Linked DNA regions of Drosophila melanogaster. The protein of the gene in region 1 interacts with the protein of each later gene in a pairwise test. Each region holds a gene or a part of one and is shown in the gene's direction. Other genes may lie near its edges.

Evidence for each region.
Region 2: the proteins of rdo (region 1) and CG31522 interact in a two-hybrid assay, tested with the Drosophila melanogaster proteins (one large-scale study listed by BioGRID).

Annotation. Positions count from the first base shown.
Region 1 is NT_033779.5:18,010,380-18,017,493, forward strand, and holds the start of rdo (reduced ocelli), read left to right. Parts: upstream 1-2,000; 5' UTR 2,001-2,653; intron 2,654-7,114. Other genes in the region: elfless, read right to left, coding at 118-486, 555-632, 699-827, 884-997.
Region 2 is NT_033777.3:4,458,856-4,465,969, reverse strand, and holds the start of CG31522 (uncharacterized protein), read left to right. Parts: upstream 1-3,086; 5' UTR 3,087-3,343; exon of another isoform or gene 3,344-3,350; intron 3,351-7,114.

The DNA of each region.
Region 1 (7,114 bases):
GTTTCTTTAGGTGTGAATATTGTGTTACGGTCTTTCGAAAGTATATGCCACAAGTCTATTTGTGGTATTTAAAACCGTGGTATTTTTAGTTTAGTATGCTTTCTGCCATATCACGTCTTACAAGAAAATACGATGGAATTCGGGCTCATCCACTCCGCACAATGGGCATACCCTGCCAGTGTCGACAGCTCTCTTAATGCACGCTTTGCAGAAAACGTGGCCACAATTGGTGGACACTGGTAGCTTCTCGCGGACATCTTCCAGGCACACAGGGCAGTTGTAGGGCAAGACAGATTTCTTGGACTCCTCGTCATCTGATTTGATCCGTTTGTTGGGAGGAGAATCCTCGTTTGAATCTGAGGATTCTGTATGTCCCATTGGTGTTGATGATTCGGTGGAGCTCATACTGCTATCGAAGCTAATGCTGGTCGATGAGCTTTCACTATCACTGGAACTAGACGACTCTGAGTCGCTGGAATACTCCAACTGCACAACAAAGTTAAAGCTATTAAAACCTATGGATTCCGGATCGAGATGAACGAACAAGAACTTACCAGGAATGGGGTTCTGTCGATAGATCTGCTGCTGCTTGAGGAGTCCGAGTCTCCGTAATACTCATTTGGATTCCGCTCCTATTAAATGATGTTGTAATGTAACCAATGGATTCTGGGTGGGACCTGGCTAGAACAATAACTTACAGAGGAACCGCTGAGTAAGCGGGATCTTAATCCGGAGGGCGCGAGTACGGGAGTGGGCCCGGTGTTATGGATTCGCTGTGATACTCCAGAATTATTCGAGGTCCTGAAGTTTTCCATTTGAAGTCCCACCTATTCCATAAAGTGTATTATCAATAGATTTCAGAGCTGGGTGAACATGAACTTACCAGGTAACTGAGGCGAGAGCTCAAATGTGAACGGTTTCTGGAAAAGGGTAAGGAAATAACCCTAGTGTTCTGCTCCCATTCAGTAGAAGAGTCTGAGTCGCTGGAATCACCCATTTGAAATCGCACCTGTTTTTGCAGTTTTAATACTACCAATGAATTCTGCCTTGGAACTTACAACTTTTTACAAATTCAGTTGAACCCGTTTCCTTGCTTTTTATTTGCAAATTTACAAGAAAGCTGTTTGAACATATGTCAAAAAATCTTGAAAGTTCCAGGACACAATACCAGTATTTTAAGTGCCAAAGGTCACACTGCGATAAAAAGTACCATTTCAACGCGCCAACAATCATTGTCCGATTTCCATGATTTCCAAATTGGATATTTGCTTAGGATTGTCACCCTAAGAAGTACTATTTATACCAGGTACTCGTGGAGTAAAAGGGTACACTAGATTCGTTGAAACAAATAGAAGGAATTTCCATTTAATTAAGATACAAAACCGAGTAGATCTGGCTATGTTCGCCTGTCTTGCCGGCCGTATGAAAGAATCATAGGAACTATAAAAGCAAGAAGGTTGTGATTAAGCGGACAGATTCTAGAGACATAGACGCAGCACAGATTTTTTGGCCCTGTTGCCACGCCCACTCTAACGACAAACCGCCCAAATCAAATTTGTTTATAATTTTATTAGTCTTGTTAATTCTTATCGATTAGACACAAAACTTTTTGCCATGCCCACTCTAACGCCCAGACTTTAGAACAATTTTTAAATGTTTTCACATTCATCGATATCCCAGAAAAATGATCGAATTTCGCGTTCGTATTCCCACTAGCTGAGTAAGGGGCATCTAAAAGTTAGGGAACTCGACTATAGCATTCTCTCATGTTTGTATCTTAAATGGTTAACATAAAATTAAAAAATATGCTAACAGAAGTAACTCCCTACAACGAAAGAAATTCAAAGATCGAAAGTCCGGACTCAACAACATAGAATTCCCGAAGTCACACACGAACTTGCAACATGTTGCAAGTGCCGCTCGGACTGTCTCGAGCCGTTGGAAGCTCCAGCCGCGTTCTCGACTTCCGATTTAACTTTCAGCGCGCTTTCGGCCGACTTCAGTGTACGTTTGGCTCGCGCAGAGTGCGGATTGCAGTTCGATTCGGCTTAATCAGCCCAGTGATTTTAGCGTATTTCATCCGTAGGATTGCTCTGCCGCAGATCTGGCCGATAAGACTTGGCAACACATCAGGACCCAATCCTGGAGGCCCTAACCGTAATTAAATTATCGGGCGAGTTAATTGGCAGCCCGAGAGTTGCGAAAGTCGTAATGACGGTGCCATTCATCTGGCATTTAGCTTGATTCCCGTTCGCCGATCGCTTTGCCGTGCTAAAGTCTGTAATATTTGGTTAGTGCGGGTTGCCAAAAAGTTAAACAGAACAGAAAGTACGGTTCATTTGCTAAATACACGGGACCATTCAAATATCCCGACACAATTTAAGAGTGTGTGTGGGCGTGTGTTTGTGTATGTGCGCTCAGTGAGTGAGATGTGTGGCAAGTTTCATTTATTGGCAGCCAGCAACTGATTTGAATATTCACTCGCACACTCATACCCGAAAGGATCTGCGCTGCCAAAATACTAGACCAGATTGTGGCTCCTGTGTCGCCCGTGCATAAGTGTGTGTGCAGTATGATTTATAGGTCCTGCAGCAGGCGTGATGTAAAGTGACAATTTCTGGTAATTTTCGATTTACATGCCGTTGTGCATTGGGTAAGTTTGACGAAGGATCCCTGGATTTTGTTTACTTTGTTTTTATAACATTACCTGGAATTAATTTTATGCGTAATTTATTGCTGCGAAAAAGAGAAGAAAGAGGTCAAACCTGATTCAGTACCTTCCATAATAATAACTTTATAATATATCATTTGATAATAAATTTCAAACTGTTATTTTTGGGAAGAAAAGGGTTGGATGGGGCAGACTTATTATATTTATTTTTAAATTTCCACGTGTCATGTTAAAAAACTATGGATGGAAAACCATATTTATTTGCTCAAAATGAATAAATTTACCTTATCTTATCCTTGTCTATTTTTTTTTTGTATTTAATTTCCATATTTAAAGTTATAAAAATATGATCTAAATGTTAATAAATATGAATTTACATGATTCTATACAGTTCTACCAAAGTACAACTACCAAAAGCATTTTATAAATCGATTGAAAAACGTTCCCATTGGCCACGCATATTGTTGTTTATCTTTATATTTCCAAGGCACACGAGTAGTTACCTCTGAGCTAAGATTGATTTACACCTGCTCGGATGTCTTGCCAATCAGAAACCGCAAGACAAACACTACCTGCGCACTCGCGAACATATCAGATCGCGTATACTTCCGCTCTTAGAGGGTTTCGCTTAAAACGGTTTCCGCGAAAAAATTAACTTTCCTAGAATCTGAAAATACGTCCCTGAATAGCTGAGTAGAATAAATCAATGAGTAATTACAGAAGTGTTATTGATTTTGGGCTCCTTTCTCTCGAGCATAAATTAGAGCCAATAAATATCGCGACATTAGGGAAATTTTATCGGTTTCGGATGGCCGAAGATTATATTAATGGGTGCCATTAATATTTAATCCTCGACAACAGGTTTCACCAGCGTTAAGGACACAGAGAACGCCAAAGAAATAAAACCATCCATCCCATTATTTGGCAGAAGGAGAATTGGAAACTTTTGCAAACAGCACCTGTGTCTAAGGAATTTTTAATAAAATCTCCTGAAAAAGTGGTAAACTCAACAAAGCCATTCGTCATGCTCAAGTAACTTGGGTTTTAGACTTTTGGGGTTTTTCCCTTTCGCATGCTTTTTCTTGCTGGTCAGCGAACCAGTTTGGCATCATAATTATGCAACCAGGCATGCAGCTGAGGACACTGTCGGCTGCCAAAGGGTTGAAAGGAACCCTTTCTTTCTTTATACATTTAAATTTGGGTCACTTACGGCCGAAGCAAATTGTAATTAAAATATGAATTTTCCATGCAGCCATATAACAATTCACTTTTAATTTTAATCATTAAATCCCAAAAAAAAAAAAAAAACACTTTTATTTTGAACAAAGCGCAACTCTTTTTTCACTTTTGCGACGGCCTTGACGGACTTAAAGAGTCCTGACTGTGGAAAATAATCATCATCAGCCGCAGGATTTCAAACCACCATCATTATCGTCTGCTGGTCTGGTTTGCATAATTTCATACATAAACTGTCGCTTTTTGTGCGCATAATCTGCAGCTTTTAAACAAAAAAAAAAAAAAAATAGGCAAAAAATATTAAATAAAACGCAGTGTCGGCGGAAAGGTGTCATATACTCCAAAAATTGGGTGTTCTAAATGTTCGAGAAATGAAGCGCTGAAAAGTTGGTCGCGTTACGCATCCGCCATGTTGCGCGGCGCCAAGTGGTGAGGATTACGCCGGGGTTCCCATATACTTAATGACATGCAGCTGCTGTTTTACTTGCGGTTTCTCCCTGGAGCCCCCAGGAACCTTTAGTAAATTTTGCTGTCTTGTCCCCCTCCGGACTAACTTATGAATTTTAAGGTGATTTCCATGTCGCAGGACCAAGTTCAGGAAACTTTGGATTGGGGGTCCTTTGGGAATATGGGATGAGTGCCACGTCACATCGGGGACTTGTCAGCAAAGGGTTGATCGCATCATAAATCAAACGAACTGTTAGCCCAGTTCGCAATCAAAATCATTCTGCGGTCTGCAGCATTTGTTCCTCAGAATGTGGTAATTAATCATCGAAAGTAATTGGTTTTCTGTTTTGATTTGACATTTGAAAAATTGCAGCTGTGACAATTCAATCCCAGTTCCAGTTTATTTGCCTAGCGCCATTTACTTCGCTGGTTTTTCAGTGCAAAATGCTGCAAAATAAACGCAAAAGTTTATTATACTTTGGTTTTTGCCGAAGTGAAATGGTGACCTATGCAAATTTATGAATGCAAATTAAATATAAACGAACGCATAAATGCGGCTTAAAAATATTGCCACGCAATATTGGCAAACAATGGGATTAACTGGACAAAAAATGGTAGGGAGTGTCCTTGAAGTCCATGTTTTTTAGCACGGGTATTCATAGGCTAAATTGCCAATATGGCCGCAACTCTGGCTTTAACGGAATTATGTCGCTAATTTAATGATGGCAAATGTATTGTTTTGTCGTTGGCCCCACTGAGATTGGTTTATGGGCGCAACCGTTTATACAACTTTGCAAACAAACCAAATAAACTCAGAAATTAAACTAAGACGCAAATAAAGTTTGTGAGGCACAGTCGCGATGTTGGCACTTAAAACTTCTTGAATGCCAATCATACCCCAGCGAATTTCTCGACAATAAAAAATTATTTAAAAATCGTTAAAGTTTTTAAAGGGAATTATGCCCCAAAGAAGCCGAAATACTCTAAGCTGTGTGCTCCGTTTTGGTTGTGTGGCACTTCAAAAGAAATAAAACGAAGACACAAAAATATCCCCACCAAAATACACACAAATTCTCGGTCTTCGGTGACTTTGTTTTGTTTGCCAAGTCTGAAAGTGGCTCTCGTGGTCCGTATTTGTGTTTTGTTTCAGCTTTTTCGGTGATGAGAGCCCCACTGCTAACTCAATAACACAATTTATGGTATTTTTTCAAGTGGCGTCCTCGTCGGGAACAGAAGCATCGCACATCGCATGTGTTTGCTTTCATATTGAAGTTTATTTTACAGTTTTATGATCATGAAATAAGAGGGGAATTAAAGAGTTGATGATTTAAATGCGTTTAATAACGCTACCATCACAGCAAACTCTGTTATTGCATTTTGAATCAGAAAGATTTTTTAGTTAGTTTAAGATGCAATTAAAACTAATTTCCATTCGGTTATTTTTTATTTTTTTTTTTTAATTTCAGACATTTTCAGGAAACAAATTATTTTACCCAGGATATCTCGTATTCGAATGGAAATCACAATCTTTATGCCGTTGCCACCACGTGCTTCTTATATTTTACTTCTCAATTAAATACCACTTTGTTTGGAATAAATGCGCATTTTTGTTGCTGCTGCACATAAATATTTATGCGGGACTTAATCAAAGAAAAATGTTGGGACTGAGGCTTAGGCCAGCTGTGGTCCTTTCAGCATTTAGTCCTTTTCATTACGTCTGTTCTATTTGCGCCAGATCAACTCATTTCTGTTTATTTAAACATTAAATGTGCTTACATTTGATTAGCAGCCCGAGAGCTTAATTCCATATCAATGTACTGGCAGAGAGCTCTTTTTTCGGCTGAAAACCATATAAAATTTATGTGTTTGCCTTGCTTTTAATTTGTTTGCATTTTTATATTATTTATTTTCGCCTGGCTTGTGTAAATTTCTCTTTTTGGTTTTGAGCTCATTACATTTCCTTTCGGGTTATGGGAGCTGTCTTTTATGTGGCCAGTCGCATTAAAATGCATGAAATGCGCAATTAAAAACGAGGACAAAGTCTCTTTGAAGATGGCAGCGGGATATCATTTCCTTTTAATTAAATATGTAAGGGCATTTCACATTTAAGCACATATCGATGCTTAATTAAAAGCACTTTGTGTGTTCAGTCCATTACGCAAAAAAAAAGGTTTCATAATTTGATGAAAGGGGTGCTTGGGATCCAGCTCCCTTTTTGTTTGTGTATATTTTAAAGAGCCACTGCCACCGGGATATCTGCTGTCCGGGCATTTTTCCGCGGCTCAGCAATGACAAGTGGCACTGAACTTGTTGTCAGCTCGTTGTCCAAATGACAAATGGGTGCATTTGCCTCTTGCCGAGCGGCATCGCCATCGATATGGCATCGAAGTCGCGCCGCGCGGCAATAAAAATAAACTGTTTCGGCAACGAATCCGAAAACAAATCTCCTTTCCCCCAATCCTTGGAACTTGGGACCACACACCACGACGCAATGGGCAATCGAGTGTAAAAGTATGCGAATAGCTTGGCATTTTTATTTATATTCCGCGACCCGCCAAAAATTGTCAACATGGATCAATGTGGGGCCAAACTTTCAACTGGCTTTGTCATTGGTTTGTAGCCCGGTTATGTAAGCGTTGCTAAATAAACATAAAAAACACTGTATTGTAGCTTAAAGTATCATATTTCCCCTCATATTTATAATATTATCATCTGGATTATCGCCGGCATTCGCGTGTGAGTGTGTGTGCGAAATCAGGC
Region 2 (7,114 bases), on another chromosome or scaffold:
ACTTTGTAAAGGTCTAATAGTTAAACTTATTTATACATTGTAGCTAGCTAGCCAATTGCAAAATGCAGCACGACCCAGACCTCCCCTTGGCCTTCCTGGACAATTGTGACAACTAAACGGACGACCGGACCGAAGATCACACTATAGTCAGACAAGAAAGAGTGACAAAGATCATGGAGATAAAGCTTTTATACTGTAAGTGCAAACCGGCTTAAGGACGAAGACAATCAGTTTATTAGTTGGTTGCCGACCAATGTAAATGAATCTTAACAAAAGTTTTCAACTATTTTCGCATTGCATTGAACCTCTTTTTGGTGTGGCTCATATATATTACTTTATTACTACCTATTCAATATCCGCTTGTTTCCATTTTTGGTTTGAAGTTGTTAAACGGTTTTTCAGCGCAGTGAGAAGTATTGGTGACAAATTATTTGTAAGTGTAATTCTGTCTGTTAATCCGTGCGTATGGTTTCGTTGTTAGATTATGTGGCTTAAGCTGACAAGTTCAAAAACTATAGAAAACCTAAATAAAGCTTTTTAATTTATATTAAAACTGTTCAAGAAAATATTTCAATTGTATTAACGCATATTTTGTACGTGTGTATAACTTTCATGACGGGATTGAATCCCTGGGGCCAGTGTACAGTGTAATTGTTAATAAACGAACACATTAAGTGTATTCCCACTTATAACTGATAATTAGAGGCTTTAGAGCCTCTGAGGGTGTGGCAATTGACCCATGTGGCCTATCCCCTAATGAGATTGGACATTGTTTCAGAGAAATACAAGGCATCTTGCCAGCCACGAAAATCTAGAAATAATAAAGGCTTTAAAATAATGCCTTTACTATCAGATGCCTGTTGCTTACTTAACAAAATTTCCGAGAATGGGTCAAGTGTAATATTTTATTTACAAGTCACATATTAATTTACAAATTCTACCGAATTAATATTGCATACACCAGGCCTAACACCTGATGTGCCTTTTGAACTTTTAATAAAAAAGAACTCTTGAAATAATCGCATTAGGAATTACGCTGAGCATGAATCAAATTTCACATTTCCCACTTTATACGACCAAGTAGTGAACCAAATCATAAATATTTTATGAATTACATGAATATTCCAAATAAAACTATATTATATTTATTAAACCAATAACACTATATTATAGGATATATTTAGTGTCTCCCTCCACAAGAAAAGTCCTTTGAACTACGTCGTTGCTAAGTTTTAACTTTAATTTAAGAACTCCTTGCGACGTTTATAACTTAAACCGCAACGAGAAAGGAAGTTAGCCTTGCACCTGTAGCTTATTTGCGTCTGCAGTACTATGACGTCATTTTCAGAATTAAAGGGTATATATGTAGATTCGTTGAAAAGAAAGAAATTTAAAGCGGTTATGGTAGTCCGATCTTAGCGTAAAAGATCAAGCGATTACATACCAAGACTTTGAGAAAAGTAAAAAAAAATTTGGCTGAGCCCCACTACCAAACATATGTTAAAATTAAATTGGAACCTTTTGGGCGTCTTGTTCGTCCCTTAAAAAGCATTTTTTGAAATACTTTACCTAAGCCCATAATTTGTGCTACATGTCATTAAAAACGCGTTTGCAAATGATTATTTGCTTTTCACAATTGTTTTGTCTCAAACAACAGATTAAAATGTAATACCCATTACCCGTAGAGTCAAAGGGTAGACTATAGGTAGGCAGTTTATGTTCTTTTCTGACTCGATAAAGAACATATTACTTCATCAGGACCAATAGACCGTATAAACGTCAAGATCTCTCTTGTTTTTTTTTTTACGATGATCGTTGAACGCTCGGCTGTGCAAAAGTGCAGAAACGTACCAAACAATCGAAAAAATCAAATAACAATACAGATTGCCACTGACTTAATGTACAAATGGGCCAGTACTTAATAGACGCGTACTAATTTTTGGCAAACAAATCCGCTAACAGGCGGCGACAGCTGGGCTGTACAGGCTAATATTTAAGCCCCTCTTGACCTTGTCGGCTCTCGACTCTTGCCGCATCAGCCGGACAGGGCGCGATGTTAGCCAAGTTGACATAACTTAATGCATCATAATGCACCGGCGTATTTGGAGCTGGAGCTGCGACGGAGACTATCGGCACTTCAGGCTAGTGTTAGCGTTAGATAATAATAACTATTTCCCAGCTCACTTTGGCACGCGCCCTTTGATGCGTTGTGACCAAACACTGAACCCTGACCAATTATCAATTGTATTATTACTACCAAGTATCCGAATTTCGTTTACAAGGAATGAACTTTGGAGAATTAAAAAAACTGTTGGAAAAAAACTATTAATTCAGGCAAAAGCTGCGAGTAACGACCGCTATAAAAATAAAACCCCTATTTTCTTAAATACTATCGATTTGGAACATATAATTGTAGGATAATTAGACAATAAATCTTAAGTCACCCCATATTTTGCGAAAACTCTTTCATCATGTTCCAAGCAATTCTTAATTGTTGGTCATACGGTTGGCCCAAAGTTTCGAATAAGGCCGTATATCTGTGCGTATCCATGATTATAAGCCAGATCACCTACACGGGCAGGAATCGTACGCCTCGTAATTAACATGGATGATTTAACGCTGTGAAAGGCCAGGTATCGGGGCTGTTCGGAAGTTCACTCCATGTAATATTTACTCGCTGGCAGTGTGCGATTGCTATTGCGACGGTAGCCACACTTGAACCTTGCCTGCGCCGCTGACATCAGACAAAAAAAAACAAGGTTCGGGTTCAGATTTGGGTCTTGGGTTCGGGATCTCCGGATCTGAATCGAGTCGCATCATTCCCGGTGTCCGGGAATAGCCAAGAGCCAATCAGGCCATTTGCCATCTTCGTGCACTGCACTTGACGCTCGGCGGCGGAAAGTTTTCGCACTGCACTCGGTCGGTGCTTGCCGCTGACCGTAACGTTTCCACCGCAGCCGCTGCGCTGCCAGTGGCGTTCTTCCCTGCGCTGGCGCTCGCGGTTGCGCCTGCGCCTCCGCTTCGTCGGCGTCGCGCGATCCGCGTTTAATTAGCCGCGCGGCGCGATCGCGGCTCAGTTTTCATTCAGAAGTCAAGCGCGCGCTAATCGCAGACGCAGTCACCGATCCCGTGTGCGAAAGCCGAAAGCCAAGAGCCAAAAGCTATTGCGAAAGTAATCATTTTACAAAGTTCTTTGGCAACACTTTGTGAAATAGTTCGGGCCGCGCAATTTGTGTGTTGTGGTTTTTGCAGTTTTTAGTTTTCAGATTTCGGTTGCCAGCGATTTACCAACCGAGCTGCTGCTGGCCGCCTTCCGTTGCGGATTTCGAGCTGTTTGCAAGTGGTAAGCTGTAAGTTGTTCGCACATGTGATTTTTGTTTTTCGCTCTTTTGCAACTGCGCGGCGCTTGGTCCGTTCACAATAAGCATTTTGGACGGCGCTCTCCACGCCAAAACACCTCCCCGCTCTGGCCAATCTGCCCGGCTATAAGGCGCAGATCGTCCGAGCTAATCGATTTGACTGGCCAATCGGGCTGTTCGATCCGGTGTTTCCAATGGTGTGGCAACCCTGCCATTTGGCGGTTGCACAAAATCAGCTTGCGTGGGGCATTTGATTCCCAGCGAGGATCCGATGCTGAGGACCTCTGGAGAATCCTCGACGTGTGGTCGCAGGCGGGATTCCGGCGGGATTTAGCCCTGGCCTGACTGGCAGCGCAGCGGCAGACCACGAACAGCTGGGCGGATTTGTATGCTGTTTGAGCAGCTGTTCTGGTTTCTGGACTGTTGACTCCCAATATACCGATAGGTTTTGTTTTGCTGACCCCTCGAGATAATGCATAAGAATTAGCCAGCATCGTAAAGCTTTTCACCGTTGACATTGGGTCCAAAGTAGCAGAAGCGCAATTAGTGCGCCCTTCGCGAATAATTGCCAGAGTTTTTCTTGCACTAAAAATATACAAAATGGTAATCCAAGGCAACTCGAAACAAGTGCGGAAACGATTCGCACAAAACCGGATCTGCAATGACCCGATTTTGGCCTTGGACTTGTCGCAGGGCATCCTGATCGTGGCAAAAAGTTTCCTTGAGTGTTTCCCAGTCAGGCGAGGTGGTCGAACGAAAACCGCTTCTGGGACCGACTTTCGAGGTCTTGTGACTTACTGATCGATAATGGGATAATGGTAGTGAATGGCTCCAGATCGACGATCGCTTCCGCGTTGGCTGTAATTGGACATCATAAATTGAACCGCCCAGAAGGGCTTGCTCATTGTTCTTACCCGGACTGGAGCCACTCAGGCGCTCCTCGGCGGATGCCACTAAGGTGGCAAATACTTTCAAACAGTAAGCTGGGATTTCGCTTTCCGTATTTACATATGCAAACCATTTGGGTTTTTTTCGCGCTCACCGTTCTTCAAATGCCACGCACGTAGCCGCGTTTCCAGCGAATTTACAGGCTACACGCCAATCCCCTGAGATCGCAGATCCGAGATCTGAGGCCCGACTCTCAAGAAGCCTCAAGAAGCCTCAGCCAAAACTTACCCAAACATTAAATCGCTCAACGCTCGCCGGCGTGGCCGCAGCTCTGGCTCACACCGCTTACTCTCTACTTATAAATAATTTAAACACAAAAGTTTGTTTGTCTAGAAGAGGATCTCGCTTCCACATCGAATAGCGCAATGGGGCGTGCTAACAACTGCGATTTGCGGAAGCCAAGTGTTAGGAAAAGAGCCGTAAACGTTTACATTTACGTGAAAGTATACCTTTATATGTATACTATTGTTTGCTATTATGTTTGCTATTGAATGCATTACAAACGGTTTAAATGTATTGATAAATACAAAATAGAAGGGCATACACTTTTGTCTGACTCCCATTATATATATATATATATGCATATGCATATATATGCATATATATACTTCTACCGACCATAAAAGCCACTAACCGATAGATAGGCCGCCGCTTGAATACCAAAATGTCTTGGGCAGTTTTCGAATATTTTAAACAATTACTACATTACAGTTAAGCGCCAATAACAATACCCGTACAATTCCTGGATTAAAGCAAGATTTCGTATCTTAATCTGGTAGCAATCCAGTTTGTACAATACGAACATTTTGTATATAAACTTTATAAAAAACACCTCCAAATATGTGGGATTAAAGTGACGATGACACTTCTCAAGTCCTAAAATGGCAATTAGTTAAACTTTTTTTTAACAAATTTTGCAGACAAACACATTTTGGAAAATGTCATTCAAATCTTGTTTTATAAATACAAGAATTATAACTAGAATTGCTCCCCCTTCTTCCTAGCTAATCATCATTCAACAAGAGATTTAAATCATCAAAAGATTATTCGATCACGATATACATAAATGGCTCTGATCAGACTCTCGGTTCTCATCGTCACTACGTAAACTGCCATCCACAGCGATGTTAGGGGACTTTACTTGGGATAAGCACACGTACCTACTTATAATGTCAATTGGAAGACAGCGTTTTGCAGTGACTAATGAAAACAATTAACAGAATTTCGTCCGCCTATGTCTGCGACGTGTACGGCATTAAAAATATTCCAGAAGCAACAACACTATCAGCCACATCTCCGCACTTTAGACAGAAGATACTCACAACTTGTTCATGACACTAAAACAAGTTGAGACATCACCTAGCTTGCACTTCGGTTTGCATTACCTTAGTTCTGCTTTGAGTTTCAACTTCCCCGATTTGATTCGACAAACTGGAGTAACTAGCGTAACTAGACTTACTCTACTCTAACTAGAGTTTACAACAGCAGTCTTTGAAACCCCGGGAAATTAGTTAAATAGCTTGTCAGTAAATTGACTTAATTAGTGAGCCGAAGCGCGAACAGCAAAACGAAAAGGAGCTGCAATATGCCCAATAAGACTAACATTTAGAAGAACACCACAAATTGATCGTTATAAGAAACTTCCGTTTCAGAAATATAAGTCCAATACCATGGTTAAGTATTCCTTATGGTTTTCGAGACTAGGGTACATTCCTTATAAATTCCTAATTAATTATTATACACAATACTTGTAGGGTAGACCTGAACTTGAAATGTATTTGATAGAAAGCATATCTTCGACGCTTTATTTTCTTTTTGTTTCCGGAATTCTATTATGTTTTGATAATTTCTAAGGTAGCCGAAGACAATTTAAAAATGTATCCTTCGCAATCCTCCGTATATATGTACATATGTATGTGTATTCGAACAAAGACTAGGCAGTCGAACTAGCCAAGTTCATCTGGACTTCCTTTAGCTGGGTAATAGGTATCTGATAGTCAGGAACTCGATGAAAGTGATTACTCTTGTTTTTATAAAATGCTGAAAGCATTGTTTGTTTGGCCAAATTGTGGGAAATAAATATCAGCCAATATGGTTTAATAGAAACAAGTTAGTTAACACACTTCGTGTAAATGCAATTCAAGCAAGATCAATAGAAAATGTTTAGAATGTGCTTACACCTCGTTACACTTAGCAAACAGGTTGGGAACTTAATGCTAGAATTGATTGAAATCGATTGATTTCAGGCTTTCCGTAGCTACCTTAGTAGAGTCAACAGCTTTTCACATGGTAATTATTTCCGCGTGGAATTGCAGTCGCGTTGCATGCAAATAATTCGGAATGAATTAATTAGGCGAAATTCAAGTTGTCCCGGAAGCAAACAGGCAATAGGGCGGAAAAGGCCGATCCAGCGAGTAGCATTGAGATCGGGCTTTGCCTTGACATGGCGAAAATATGAGTGATCAGACCTGCCCAAATTACTGACTAATATGTCCAAAACAAAAGGCAATTGTACTCGGATACGACGCATTTGCGCTGCTCGTTTTAATGAACATTTTTCGCGCCAGCGCGGTTACTTTACTCGCAATAAATCTGTCAACAAAGCACTGACTTCTCACTCGAGGATTTTGACATTGAAGATGAAGACGCCGACGCCAAAGGCGATGGCGTTGAAGACCCCGCCAAGCGGCGCCGATTGAGCTGTCGAGCAGCTCCGAAATGGTGCCCCCTCCCCATACCGCCACTCCCAGTTCCGACCATTGTCTTGGCCGAGGGCCAGCTCCATTCCGGCCAATCTCGAGAGCCTG